2 linked regions of the Elephas maximus indicus genome follow. The protein of the gene in region 1 binds, or shares a complex with, the protein of each later gene. Links are inferred from orthologs where the notes say so. Each region holds a gene or a part of one and is shown on either strand. Other genes may lie near its edges.

Evidence for each region.
Region 2: GTF2E2 (region 1) and POLR2H share a complex: the UniProt entries of both Homo sapiens proteins name them as parts of the TBP-based Pol II pre-initiation complex. The link is inferred for Elephas maximus indicus from reciprocal best matches to the Homo sapiens genes GTF2E2 and POLR2H.

The regions. Positions count from the first base shown.
Region 1 is NC_064840.1:69,553,464-69,561,279, reverse strand, and holds the start of GTF2E2 (transcription initiation factor IIE subunit beta), read right to left. Parts: upstream 3,011-7,816; 5' UTR 2,780-3,010; intron 2,771-2,779; exon of another isoform or gene 2,564-2,770; 5' UTR 2,452-2,563; intron 1-2,451. UniProt on the Homo sapiens protein: Recruits TFIIH to the initiation complex and stimulates the RNA polymerase II C-terminal domain kinase and DNA-dependent ATPase activities of TFIIH. Both TFIIH and TFIIE are required for promoter clearance by RNA polymerase.
Region 2 is NC_064819.1:30,728,470-30,735,406, reverse strand, and holds the start of POLR2H (DNA-directed RNA polymerases I, II, and III subunit RPABC3), read left to right. Parts: upstream 1-3,922; 5' UTR 3,923-4,624; coding exon 4,625-4,697; intron 4,698-5,995; coding exon 5,996-6,079; intron 6,080-6,161; coding exon 6,162-6,255; intron 6,256-6,791; coding exon 6,792-6,875; intron 6,876-6,937. Other genes in the region: CLCN2 (chloride channel protein 2), read right to left, coding at 131-287, 2,561-2,629. UniProt on the Homo sapiens protein: DNA-dependent RNA polymerase catalyzes the transcription of DNA into RNA using the four ribonucleoside triphosphates as substrates.

The DNA of each region.
Region 1 (7,816 bases):
CTAAAGCAAAAAAAAGATGAAGTAAAAGAGCTGAACAGAAGTTTTCAAAGGGTGGGTCAAGAAGATAAAGTATTACAATGAAATATGCAAAGACTTGGAGTTAGAAAACCAAAAGCTTGGAACTTCTCAACCTGAAAGATCTGAAGAAAAAACTCCAGCCTTGAGTTGCAATACTGAAGGATTCTATGGCGAAAATACTGAACAACTCAGGAAGCATCAAAAGAAGATGGAAGGAATACAGAGTCACTGTACCAAAAAGAATTGGTTGATGTTCAACCATTTCAGGAGGTAGCATATGATCAAGAACTCATAGTACTGAAGGAAGAAGTCCAAGCTGTACTGAAGGCATGGCGAAAAACAAGACTCCAGGAATCGGTGGAATACAAACTGAGATGTTTCAACAAGCAGATGCGGTGCTGGAGGTGCTCACTTGTCCGTGCCAAGAAATCTGGAAGACAGCTACCTTGCCAACCAACTGGAAGAGATTCATATTTGTGTCCAAACCAAAGAAAAGTGATCCAACAAAATGCAGAAATTATCAAACAGTATCATTAATGTCACACACAAGTAAAAATTTGCTGAAGATAATTAAAAAGCAATTGCAGCAGTACATCAATAGGGAGCTGCCAGAAATTAAGCCAGATTCGGAAGAGGACATGGAAGCAGGGGTATTAATGCTGATAGCAAATGAATCTTGGCTGTAAACAGAGAATACCATGAAGATGTTTACCTGTGTTTTATTCTCTATGCAAAGGCATTCGACTGTGTGGATCATAACAAATTATGGATAACATTGCAAAGAATGGGAATTCCAGAACACTTAATTGTGCTCATGAGGAACCTGTACATAGACCAAGAGGCAGCTGTTCAAATGGAACAAGGAGATACTACATGGTTTAAAATCAGGAAAGGTGTACATCACGGTTGTATCCTTTCACCATACTTATTCAATCTGTATTCTTAGCAAATAATCCAAGAAGCTCAACTATGTGAAGAAGAACGGGGCATCAGGATTAGAGGAAGACTCATTAACAATCTGAGATATGCAGATGACACAACCTTGCTTGCTGAAAGGGAAGAGACGTTTAAGCGCTTACCGATGATGATCAAAGGCTACAGACTTCAGTATGAATTACACCTCTACGAAGAAAACAAAAGTCCTCACAACCTGTTTATCATGATGTTGCTTATTCTCCCAATAAGCAACATCATGATAAGTAAAATGAAGATACTACCAACAGTGTCTACATCTAGCTCAACTGTAAAAAACAAAAAGAGTCATTAAAGCGATTTTTTAAATAGTAAAGCACCACACTATACAAATATGTTATCATTTCAGTATTACTATTTTGAGACGGGTTTGACAAGAAATAACAAAATGATCACACCGGAGTAAGGAAGGTAGAGTGTCTTGGGGCAAGGCAAAGTGTGATACCAAGAACGAGCAATGAGAATTCACAAGTGACATGGTGGGGGGCAACAGAAGACTGTAAACTCTAAAACGGGAAGCATTTGTATCAGTTTATTTCCCCTTGTTTAGATAAGTAATTAATCTGGGATTTTCCTAATGATTTAAACACAAATTCAAAGAAAGCCTTAGAGTTTAAAAAGACCTAAATACAGTATTTGATCCTCACAACACTATGAGATAATAAGGTATTAGTTTCACTCCTATTTTAAGATGTGAAATCTGAAGTGAAGCTGTATGGTTACAGTCACACAGCTGGGAGAACTAGGGCTAAAACCACAAATATCCTGACTACCGGTCAAGTGCTCCTCACACCGGATGGGAAACACTGCTTAAGGCCTCTGCAACAAAGGCCACCTGTGTGGTACTGCTGACGATCAATGAATGGCACCTAGAGCAGAAGGCTTACTAGTATCTCCCGTTTTCACCACTGCATGCTCTAGCTAGCTTTTCCTCTTTTCTCAGAAGACTTCTCAACATTCCTATTGAGTTTCCCATCCCTATGCTGAACTGTGTTACAGTAGACAGCACACATCACCATCCCCAGTTACATTAAAAACCACCACACAGACTCACCACACCGGTTCAGGGAGCTGGCGCCTTCCTCCAAGGATGGATTTTAAGAAGCCAAAACTAAACCAAAATCTTCTGCCTCCAAAAGCCACGTTCTTGCCACCACACCAGTCGCCTCTTTTATTTAGCCTTTCTACTTTTCCTCCTTTCCCTGACTAAGCCTCAGAGGTGTCACTGGCATCTAACAACACTGCTACCAACAGCCGGCAGGCTGAGAAAACACACAGAAGCAGAGAGTAGGCTGAAAAAGGTACCGCAGTATCGTTTTTGGAAAACGTCTTTAAACTACGCAGAAAACAACTATAACTGTATGACTAAGTTTAAGGATCATTACAAACTAAGTCTCCAAAAGCCAGCTTAAAAAAAAAAACAGTCCGTGGGTGAGTGTCTAAATCACAGCCTTGAGGTACCTGTCGGCACACTGTGGTTCCCGAAACTCCACACGCGGTTCCCTCAGCTACCGCCCATGGGAACGTGGGGGAGGAAGAGACTTCTCAGCTTTCCGACGGTGCATCTTCCCTCCTGCCAACCCAGAAGTTTGCTCAATGAACGCTCCGGCCTCAAAGACAAAGCTCCCACGGAACTGTTACACCCTTGCAGTGCTCGGCCGGGAGAGCCACAGCCCAGCCTTCCGGGGCTGGAAGCCACGCTCGGCCCCGCGGGAGGAGGTGGCGCGTCCCCGTCCGAGGAACAACAGCCCAGGCTCAGCGCCCCCCAGCCGGCGGCCGCGGCCCCTACCTCAGCCAGTAGAGCCGCCCCGCGCGACCCGCCGCCGCCTCCCCGCGCCTCCGCCAGGGCCCGCCGCCCACGCCGGAGCCGCCGCCTCTTCCTGCTCGCCGTCAGCACCCCCGCCTGCTCGCACGCACGCCAGGTCGAGGTCTCCCCACCGGCCGCGGCGGCAGCGGCTACTGAGGCGGCGACTCGGCCCCGGGCTCCGCCCGCCACTTCCTGATCTGGCTGCTAGGAGCCGAGTCCCGGCAGCCACCGCGGCGCCTTCGAGGCCGAGAACGCGCATGCGTCGTCACGTGACCTCGCCCCCTCGCCAGGGGTACCGCGGGAGGGTAACAAGCAGGCTCGGGCGTCCCGGATCCCCATGACAACCAGAGGGCGGGCTGGGGAGGGAGGGGGCGGGGCGGAACCGAGGGCGGGACTGAGGGGGCGTGGGGGAGCGTGAGCGGGCGGCGCAAAGGAAGATGGAGGACCCCTTTGCTTTGTGGCAAACTAAAGCTTCTGGTTGCTACTCTCATCGTGCTCTGGAATCTGTTGAACCCAGAGTAGGGGCGCCAGCTATTGAGTGTCTACACAAAATTCAGAAATTTGTGAATTTACCTCAAATGGCTGCCTCTTTCACAAGTGAGAGAACAGGCCCAGTTGGCCAGAGCTCAACTACTCTGTACCCAAAACTAAACCACTGCCATCCTGTAGATTCCAACTCAGTGACCCCATAGGGTTTCCAAGGCTCTCAATCTCTAGGGAAGCGGAATGCCATATTTTTTTCTAGCGGAGCTGCTGGTGGCTTCAAACCTCTGACCTTTTGAAGTAGCAAAAATTCATTTTCTTTAGTGTTTTAATATTAGAGAGAATATATGTTCTTATTTGTTTTAGTATAGCTGTATAAGCTGTGATTAATCTCTAGTCCTTGGAAAATGGTGCAGGCTCTGTTCAAAATATAGCTGAGCAGCCTGTTCCACTCTTAAAACATGATACCTTACAAACAGGTTTCCCCCTATTCAAAATAGGTGATGGAGAGCTTGACATAACTAACGCCCTAAGGATGCTCTAAGTAATCTCTCAACATTTTTTTATTGCACCAGATGTACCCATCTCTTCCAAAGGGGTGCGGAGCTATCTCAGCTCCTGTGGCCTTGGTCTTTCTTCTTTTTGTTCTCTTGAGAGATGGCCTTCAGCCTGCAAACCCATAGGAAGGCTCTCTGGCATTTTTAATCTGCAGCTTTTTTTTTTCGCTCCCTATCTCAGCCACAGTGGACTTGGCAAAACAGTTCCACTAGCCAAGAGATTGTTACGTGAGTTTTTCAGCCTGTTACAAATATACTGATGAGAGTCTGGATGCCTGACATGCATATCTTTAGTTGAATAGTTTTTTTGTGGTTGTTTTGTGACGTATAAGACCATCTGTGGACTACATGCTCAAAAGATTAGATAACCCTGATCTTCCCCATATAAAACTCTCCCGTCAACCCTTTAGGGTAGACAGAATTTGGGAGAAATTTAGCCCCCTCTGTCTCTTGAATGGAAACCCCGGTGGCGTAGTGATTAAGTGCTATGGCTGCTAACCAAGAGGTCGCAGTTCAAATCCGCCAGGCGCTCCTTGGAAACTCTATGGGGCAGTTCTACTCTGTCCTATAGGGTCGCTATGAGTCAGAATCGACGACGGCAGTGGGTTTGGGTTTTTGGTTTGGGTCTCTTGAATACCGGTATTCAGTAAAGCCCTCTTACTGCTTACCTCCTCCTGTCTGAGTATTGGCTTTGCGGCAGGCTGCTCGGACCCGCGATTTGTGGTAACGCTTTCGATTAGCAGACCGGCAGCTTTACCCACTGTACCACTAGGGCTCCTTCAACTACTCTGTAGCTGTAGTTTAATTGTGTTTAATTACTTAGTACTGGTTACTCCTCAAGTTACTCGACCTGTACCTAAGTTTTCTCATTTCGGAAATGAGGATAGTATTGTACTGCAAAAGACCTCTTTCAAGTTTTAAAAACAAAGATGTCGTTTTGATGACTCAGTTGCACCTGACCCAACCAACAGTCTTTTCAGTTGCTTCACAGGCATAGGAAAGACGGACAATAAAAAAGAAAAACAGAAGAATAGATATATTCAAATGGCGGTGTTAACAAAGAATATTGAATATACCACAGACTACCAGAAGAATGAACAAATCGGTTTTAGGAAAAATACAGCCAGAATGCTCCTTAGAAGTGAGGATGGTGGGACTTCAACTTGCTTACCTTGGACAGTCATTGAAAGAGACCGATCACTAGAAAAGGACATCATATTTGGTAAAGTGGAAACGAGGGAAACCCTCATGTGATGGATTGACCCAACGGCCACAACTGACTCAGACATACCAGTGATCAGGAAGATAGCGCAGAACCAGGCAACGTTTTATTCTGTTAGACATAGGTCTCCAGGGCAGCAAATCTGAGGTCAACAGGCAGACAACTAGTAAGGTGTTATGGAATAATGGGAAGGAATCCAAGACGAAAAAATAATCTCAGAATTTAAAATTGCATTGTCCCGAGAAACATTAGCAAGTTTTGTATTAATGTAGCAATTGTATTTCACCGTTCTTTTCCCCAATAGTTATATAAATCCCAGTGTCTCATGTCTTCATGGAATTAATTCTGTCACTCTGCTGGTTTCCTCATTAATGAGTGAGACAGAATATACAAATGCACAACAACTGGATCATAGAGGATAATAGAACTCTGACCCACATAACAAGCCAAACCACAACCTCTGCAGCAATTGCCACAGAATGTTCAGGACTTGCCCAAAGGCTACCAACTTCCCTATCCCCTGCCCCAACCCAGAACCAACTCGAGAAAGCCAAATATGCTCCCCAAATCAATCATATAAGATGCCCTACTTCTAGTTAGCCAACCTCCAGCTTCCCCTGCTGTCTTAGGCTCAGTTCCCTAGAGAAACAAAACCAGTAAAGCATATAAATGTATTTACATATAGAGAGAGAGAGACTTACATCAAGGAAATGGCTTATGCGATTGGAGAAGCTGGAATGTCCCAAATGGATCAGGATAGAGGCTCTTCCTGATTCACGCAGCTGCCGCAGGGGCTGGCAAACCCAAGACTGGCAGGTCAGAGAGCAGGGCTCTTGCTCATAGGCTGTGAACTTCAACACATCCCAAGATCAGCAGGCAAAGCCACAGGTAAGCTGCTAGCTCAAGTCCCAAGAACTAGAGGCTTGATCCCATTGTTGCAGCCACTGTGTCAGTCCATCTTGTTCAGGGTCTTCCTCTTTTTCACTGACCCTGTACTCTACCAAGCATGATGTCCTTCTCCAGGGACTGGTCCTTCCTGATAATATGTCCAAAGTAAATGAGACCAAGTCTCACCAGACTGGCTATACATCTTCCAAGACAGATTTGTTTTTCTGGCAGCCCCTGGTATATTCAATATTCTTTGCCAACACCATAACTCAAATGCATCAATTCTTCAATCTTACTTATTCATTGTCCAGCTTTCACATGCATATGAGGTGATTGAAAATTCCATGGGTTGGATCAGGTGCACCTTAGTCCTTAGAGTGACCTCTTTGCTTTTTAACACTTTGAAGAGGTCTTTTGCAGCAGATTTGCCCAATGCAATGTGACTACTTAGACTACTTTCATTAAATATTAGTTCAATAATGAACACACTTGTCGAAAGTGTTAACTTTACATGCAGGAAGAAGTTTAACGTCTTGGAATAACCTGATTTGTCTGCTCCTACGATGCTGTTTTGTGTGTGTGCATGGGTGGTGAAAAAACACACGACACACAGGCCAACTCAACAATTTCTACGTGACACTGACTACATCCTTAGAGTTGTAAAACCATTCTCACTATCCTTTTCCAAATTATTCTACCACCGTTAACATACACTCAATGTGTAAAATCATTCTTGCTATCCTTTTCCAAATTATTGGAAATTAACAAAAACTCAATGTCCTCTTAGCAAGAATACTCCGTATTTTCTCTTCCCTCCCACTTTGGTAACCACTACTAATCTTTGGTTTCATTATGTTTGTTTATTTCATATTAGGTGAGATCCCCAGTGTACTTTTTAATTCCACAAGTAGTCATGGATCATCTATTATATCTGAGTCAGAGGAAAGATAAACAAATACTAGAGTGAGTAAGACTTGCTTTCTGTCATTAACCAAACCTAAACTCATTGCTGTTGAGTTGATTCTGCCTCATAGGAACCTACAGAGTAGAGCTGCTCCATGAGGTTTCCAAGGAGCAGCTGGTGGATTTGAACTCCTGACCTATTTCCTTAGCAGCTGAGCTCTTAACCACCACACCACCAGGGCTCCTTTTGTAAAGGAGTTTATAACCTAGTAAAGAAAACAAGACAGCCTCACAAAGATCTAGAGTGCAAGTTAAATTGCGATAAAGGCTCTGTTGTCCTTAGATGCCCTTGAGTCTATTCCCCCTAGGGTTTTCTCGGCTGCAGTCTTTACTGGAGCGGATTGACAGGTCTTTCTCCCCAAGAGCCACTGGGCGGATTCGAGCCTTTTGATTAGCAGGGGAGCCCTTAGCCGTTTGTGCTACCAGGACTCTTTGATACAGGCTCTAAATCAAAACCAAACCTGTTGCTGTTGAGTAAATTTTGACTCACAGTGACCCTGTAGGGCGGAGTAGAATGGCCCCAAAGGGTTTCCAAGGAGCGGCTGGTGGATTCAAACTGCCAACTTTTTGGCTTGCAGCCGCAGCTCTTAATCACTGTGCCACCAGGGCTTCTTGATAAGGGTTCCAAACCAAACCCCTTGCCAATCGAGTCGATTCTGACTCATAGCAACCCTATAGGACAGAGTAGAACTGCCCCATAGAGTTTCCAAGGAGCGCCTGGTGGATTCAAACTGCTTCTCCAAACCAACCAAACCCAGCGCCGTCGAGTCGATTCCGACTCACAGGGACCCTACAGGACAGAGTAGAACTACCCCATAGAGTTTCCAAGGAGCACCTGGCAGATTTGAACTGCCGACCCTTTGGTTAGCAGCCGTAGCACCACCAGGGTTTCCAAACTGCCTCTAA
Region 2 (6,937 bases), on another chromosome or scaffold:
GGGAAGGGTGAGAGGCTGGAACCAAGGGGCGCCTACCCTTCTAACCTACCTTGCCCATGGGTGGCTCTAATGGCGTCCACCTCTTCCAGCCCAGCCCAGCCCAGCCCAGCCCAGCCCAACTGGTTCTCACTGCGGCACCCAGTGCAACGGTTCTGTCCATATTCCAGGAGTTCTGGGGAAGTCCGAGGGGAGGAGGGGCCCCTCCGGGGCTCAGGCCCTCCCAAGCGGATCCGAGCAGCTTCTTCTTTGGCAAAGGCCCCAAGGTCCTGAGTGTATCGGCCATACATCTGGAGCAATGGAGAAGGTGGGACATTAGCAGATGTGGGCTGTGTGGGGAGTGATCCTGGGGCCTCACATCCCCTCTTCCCAGCCTCCACATTGCATAGCTCCTCTTGAGCCCACAGTTCCCACTCTGGCTTGAGGTGTGGGAACAATGCACACTCAGGCTGTGAGGGCTGTCTTGGCTGGAGCGATGGGGACAGCCAAGGTACACAGCTCTGGGGGTGGCAGAATAATCAGTCCCCTTCTCACAGGCCTTGGGGGTGGGGCACTTTGGGGGAGTAGGAGGGAAGGCCCCAGAGGAGGAAAAGACTGAAAAACCTAAGGCACAGAGTCTGAAAGTGGGAGGAGGGAAGGTCAGGGAATAAGGGATGGTCAAGGGCTTAAGGTCAACGATAACGGCCTCATGGAGCTGGGGGCAGCTCAGAGTTGGGCCTAGGAACATGCGGGGCCCCAATCCTTATCACGTTCTTGCTGGGCCTCTGGCCTGTGACTGACTCTGCTGCACCCTCCCACCCCCCTTAATCCCCTTGTCCCTATTCCCCACCCCAACCCCCACCAGCCTGTCAGCCAGCTGCTCTCAGGATGGGTGGAGAGTGTTTGGTGGCCTCAGCCCCATTCTGGAGCTGCCCTGAGCCCAGTGGCGGTTTGGGGGACACCAGAGCTGCTGGTGGCTGGGCTGTTACTGGATGCTGGGGCGATGGGACAGGACAAGGGAAAGTCGGAGAGTTGCCGCGCCAGAGCCATGGCTAGACCTGCCAAACTAGGCATGTGTCGGGGGGGTGGGGAGGAGTAGATTCTGGCAGCCACTCGCCCAGCTTCGGGACACAAAGGGCTCCTGTTGGGGCTGGGGTGGGGAGGGGAGAGGGAGGGAAAGATAGAGACAGAGAGGGTGAGAGACAGAGAGCTAGGAGAGGAAGGCGAAGCACACAGCAAAGAAAGAGGAGAAAGCAGGAAAAGAAAGGTGAGAAGAAGGGATGGAGAAGAGAAAGGAGACAGGAATGGGGAGGAAGCACGGAGGAGAACAGAGAGAAAGCTGCTCATAAAGAGGCAGATAGAGTAGGAGGTGGGAATCAGTATGTGAGAGAAAGACAAAGGAATCAGGAGCAGAAGGGGGAGAGGCTGGAGAGAGAATACCCGGGGAGAGCATTTGACCCTCAGCGCTAGCTCATTCCAGAGGTGGAGGGGGGGAAGCCTGAGGAGGTGGAGACGTGGCTGGAGACAGACTCCATTTCAGAAGCAGGTGCCCAGTTGGCCTCCGCCTTGACCACTGTCCCTATCAGCCTGAGCAGATTGAAACCTCTTGCCCTATCCCGACGTCTCATTCCCTTCCCCTCACTCCAGCACCACTCCTGCCACCTCCCCCTGCCATCCTGTTTTATATAGTGACTCTCCTAACTGGGCACCTCCCAGCCTGAGTTACAGCCTAGCCCCCCTTCTCCCTGAGATGTTCCCTTCCTGCCACCTTCCTGGGCAAATTCCAGGCCAAGCAGATGAAGAGACTATTGCCTTCCCTGGGGCTTGGTCCCCTGCCCCAGTGACAATGAGAGGCAAATGCCTTCTCACACACTAAATGACAGTGGAGGCCATGAGTCAGCTCAGAGCCCCAGGACCCCTGCTTCTAATGAGGTCAAGGGACACCCTGGGGGAAGGTGGGGACTGGATACCTAGAGTCAGCATGGACAAAAGTCCCAATTCCCAGACCCAAAGCGCCTGTCCCCCAAGGTGGCAGGCCACCTTTTTTTTTTTCTTTTTCCAGAGTGGGCAGAAGGGTTCCTGCTAATGCTGGTTTGCAAAGCCTCAGGGGTAGGGCTGGGGCTGGGTTTGGGTCTGATTATGTCCCAACACCCCCTTGTCTCTGTCACCGTGCCATGCACATAGTGGGAACACAAGGGCTGTCTTGGACAGTGGGGACACTGGGAGAGAAAGTTCAAGCGTGTGAGTGGTCATGAGGGGCGGAGTGAAGGCGCTGAGGCTTGGGCTTAGGTGGTGAGGGGAAGGAGGAAGAAAACGTGTGTGTCTGTGTGTGTGTCGTGAAAGAAAGGCACCTGGGACAAGTACCTGGTATCCTTGTCTTCTTCAGGCCCCCAGCCTCGGCCAGAAACCTGCAAGCAGCTTTCGGCCCCTTTGGCCCTTCAGCTTCTTAGACCCCCGAGCCTCAGTTTCCCCAGCTGAGAAGGTTGGGTGGGGTTCAGGTAGGCCCCGCTCCCAGCGCTTCCGAGGGTAACGTGGAGCCGCGGTCCTGGAGCGCACGCTCGTGGCCGGGCACCGCTTCACTCACCAGGGTCTGCTCGTACTGCAGCGCCCGCGGCTCCATCCCTGCCTCTGCCGCCACCGCCCCGGCCGCCATCTCCGCGCACTGCCCTCTCGTCTGCCGCTGAAGCTCGGGCTCCGGCCGGCACTCGGCTCCTGGTCCGCAGAGCTCGCTCCGGACCCGGACCCGGACCCGGCCCGCAGCCCGAGCTGCCGAGCGCAGAGTGCAGCAGGTCCCGAGCGGGCGCCGTGAGCGCAGCCTCCCGCTCTTGTACTCTCCCCGGCGGGCGGGCCGAGGGCGGTGTTCTCTGCGCGCTCCGCCCGCCCGCCCATCCTGAGGGGCCGGCCCAGCCCGGCCGGGGTCTGCTTTGGGGCCACTTCCAGGCTCCGAGAGGCGGCAGGGGGCGCTGGGGCCTAGCGAGAACGCGTCCCCTTCCCGCCGAGGCCGGGGACAGAGACGGCGCCCGGGGCCACGGCGGGGGCGGGTCCGTTGGCCTGTGGAGAGGCCGGCGGGGTACGCTGCTCCTTGGGCCAGGGACGCCGGAGCTCAGTCGAGCTCGGGGTCCGGGGCTGCAGAGCCGTCTAAATCGGACTCTTGGGGCTCAACTCTTTTCTCTGGAGCGGCACCCTCTCTCTCCTCGGTAGGGGCAAGCGGCTGAGACGGGCCGGGAGCGGCCTCTCTGCGCCGCCGGGGGTGAGAGCAAAGCTGCGGGGACTCGGAGAGGAATTCTGGGCCCAGAAGGGGCGGGGACAGGAGGATGCTAGTTGCTGAGACCCTCGGTCTCTTTTTCCCTTCCTCCGGGCTTCCCCAGGGAGGTGCACCTGGAGGAACCTGGCCTGGGGTTGTGCGGGGGTGGAGGTGGGGAGGGGAGAGGCGAGGCCCGAGGGAAGGGAGGTCTGGGCGCCTGAGAGGCCACTCCTGGGAGGCGGGCGTGTAGGGGCAGAGGTTGCTTCTCCTTGGCAGGGCCCAAGGAGAAATCCGAGTTGCTGCTGATGTCTCGCTGCCACGGGGGAACGGCTTGCTGGGGCTCTGCGTTCCCTATCAGAGTTCGGGGAAGGATAGGGCAGAGGGTGGGGTGAGCACAGACTGGATGGGCAGCGTCAGGGGTAGGGTAGCTAGAGCGGAGACGGCAGTGCCCAGGAAACGGGCAGAGATAGTGTGCGTGTGTGTGTGGTGAAGGGGCACGTGGAGGCAGAGGCGGTTCGCGGGGGGAGGGGGCACTGCCCAGGAAACTGGAAGAGCTGGTATCTGAAGGGGTGGCCAGTGCCAGAATGAGTGTCCAGAGGGACAGGGCAGTGGTGGAGGAATGGGCAGTACCAGGCTGCGGGGGCTAGTGCCAGGCTGAGGCGGGGTGTAGGGAAGGGAGCAGGGCCCAGGGAACAAGGGCCGTGGGGGGCGGACGCTGTGCCGGAGGAGAGGGCACGGCGGGCTTTCCTCTTCCCCATAGTGACATCTTGGCAAATTCCCAAAATGGACGGATCCGGCTCGGGTGACATCCAGCAGGGCCAAGCCGGCCTGGGGCCGGGGGGCCTCAGGGCCAGCTGGAGTGGCTGGGCACTGCGCCCTGCCCCGCTCCTACGCTGAGGCCGGGGCTCTGCTCTGCCCGTCCCAGCCCGGACTGTGTCCTCGGCGGGCACGCGGACCGAAAGGGTAGGGCTAGGGCCGGGCTTCTCTGGGCCAAGGATCAAGGTCCTAGCCTGGGATAGGCCCCATGCATTACATTCTTGAGGACCCCGCCTCTGAAGAGGGCGCATTGGAGCCCCTGAGCGCGAGAATCCGTGCCACTTCGACCGGAGGCGGGATCTATTGCGTTCCCGCCCAGGGGCGGAATCACCTGGACCCGAGACCCGCCCTCAGTACAGAAGCGTCTCGGCTGCAATCACTCGGGGCGGAAGTTAACATACCCCGAGAGGGAGGTGGCGGAAGTGGGGCCGGTACTGCAAGCCCTTGCGCGTGTGCTGTCCCGCTACCTCCCGGCCGCTCTCTGGGCGCTCTCCCTTTGCCTTGGCTTCTAACCCACGCGAGGGGTTGTGTGTATTCCCCCCCGCCGTCTCGGTCGCGCGCTCAGCACCCTTCAGCGCCCCCCTCACTATGGCAGGCATCCTGTTTGAAGATATTTTCGATGTGAAAGACATTGACCCAGAGGGGAAGAAATTTGACCGAGGTACGTAAGGTCTGTAGGGGCGGTTTGGGGGAAAGGGGTCACGCCTCCGGGCCCCACGTCGTCCAGCTTACGTGGCCTGCCCCTACCTGCAGGCCCTGATGTTGGGACCTCCTTCAGGAAACGTTTATAGACGAGAAGACTGAGACTTGGAGCTTTCCCTGTTTCACACATGCTGTGCCCAGTGGCTGGGTGGCTTTTTGTCCTGGTCCTGGCAAACTCCGGGGCGTCTTTCGTAATAACAGTCGCCACCTACTCCGTAAGACACGACTGTGCACCCTACACACCCCTTGTCTTAATTGCTCCTCTCAACAGTCCCCATGAGGTGTGGGATGCCTTCCCCGTTTTGCTCTGAGAGGTTCAGTAGCCCGCCCAAGGCTGAACAGCGAATGATCTGACGTCAGAGCCTGTAATTTTGTATTGCCTTTGGAGATCCTGGAGGTCCAGTGGGTAAGAGCTACAGCTGTTAACCAAAAGTTCGGCAGTTGGAATCCACCGTATACACTCCTTGGAAACCCTTTGGAGCAGTTCTACTCGGTCCTATAGGGTCGCTATGAGTTGGAATGGACTCAAGGGCAAAGCTTTTTTTTTTTTTTTTAACTCTTTAAGAAGCAGTCTCTGAGTTAGGATTAACTCACGTTAATTCTTTATTCTGTCATTGATCAATAATCGTTTCTCCCCCATGTCCCTTCCTTTGCCTGGAGACTGAGATGTGCTTTCAGGCAGATACTGGTTCTTAAACATCCTGATAAGCCCCTCAATGTAAGGCTTAGCACAGAAAGACTAAACTTTTGGGTGGTTGTTTCTTGCTAAAACAAACAAGCAAACAAAAAAAACCATTGCCCTGGTGTGGATTCTGACTCATAGTGACCCTGTAGGACAGAGTAGAACTGCCCCATTGAGTTTCCAAGGTGCTGCTGGTGGATTTGAACTGCAGACCTTTAACCTGGATATTATTCCCTACCAGAGTACCTTTCTGGTTTTCTCTCCCCCCCCCTTTTTTTTTAGTAATACTTTATTTTATATTTGATGATGGTTTACACAGTTTACTACATTCCCATTTGACAATTTCTATATAAATTGTTCCGTGATGTTAGTCATGTTTGGGCATTCTGTTCCCTTGAAACGGTTTTCCTTTTTGCATATGTAGTTCTGATTGAGTTTGCCCTTATATAAGCGTAGGTGAGAGACTGGTAGATGCAGGCTGGTTAGATTGAGTGTTCTGTTACGTGTAATCCCCAAAGCGAGGTCTGCCCTGGACCTGGCAGTTCCCTTTGCCACTCTTTCTCTCTTCCTGCCAGTGTCTCGACTGCATTGTGAGAGTGAATCATTCAAGATGGATCTCATCTTAGACGTGAACATTCAGATTTACCCCGTCGACTTGGGTACGTGCCGAACACAGACCATAGCAAGGGGCTTTTTGCCATTTCACTTGTCTTCACCTTCAGATGTTGCCATTATTTTCAGGTGACAAGTTCCGGTTGGTCATAGCCAGTACCTTGTATGAAGACGGTACACTGGATGATGGTGAATACAACCCCACAGATGACCGGCCTTCCAGGTGAGAGTGGAGGAGAGAATGCTTGAAATATACGTGGAAGACTTAAGCAGAGAAGCGGTATAGAAAGATTCTTATTTAATTATTGGAATAAGTGATTATTAACAGAATCTGAGTAATAAGGAATGTGCTACACTTAATTAATTCAGACAACTGGGCATTTGTCGACAGGCATGATTACAAGCTTCTGAGTTGCAGTTCTTTGAAGGCCCAGGGACTAACCACTGAGTGACCTAGGTTATGTGGACCTTGTGTCTTGGGAGGGAGCTTGGTGTGTGGCAAGGCTTTGGAGCGCCACTGAGTTCAAATTTCAGCTCCACCTCTAATTTGCTGAGTAACCTCCTTGAGCCTGAGTTTTCTCATCAGTAAAATAGAGATGGTCAGGTCCAGGTCATAATGTTGCCAAGGACTAGACGGCATCGTAGTTGTAAAGGGCCTGTTTTTAAAATACTGGCACTTACTTACCAGTTGCCATTTTTAAAGGGCCTTTTGTTGTTCATTACTGTCCATTAAGAATAACTGCCACTGTTATTCCACAGGGCTGACCAATTCGAGTATGTAATGTATGGGAAGGTGTATAGGATTGAGGGCGATGAAACTTCTACGGAAGCAGCAACACGCCTGTAAGTTCTGTGGTCTCGTGAGAATCCTTTTTCCCCCCTCCCTGTTCTGAGAAGTGGGGCCG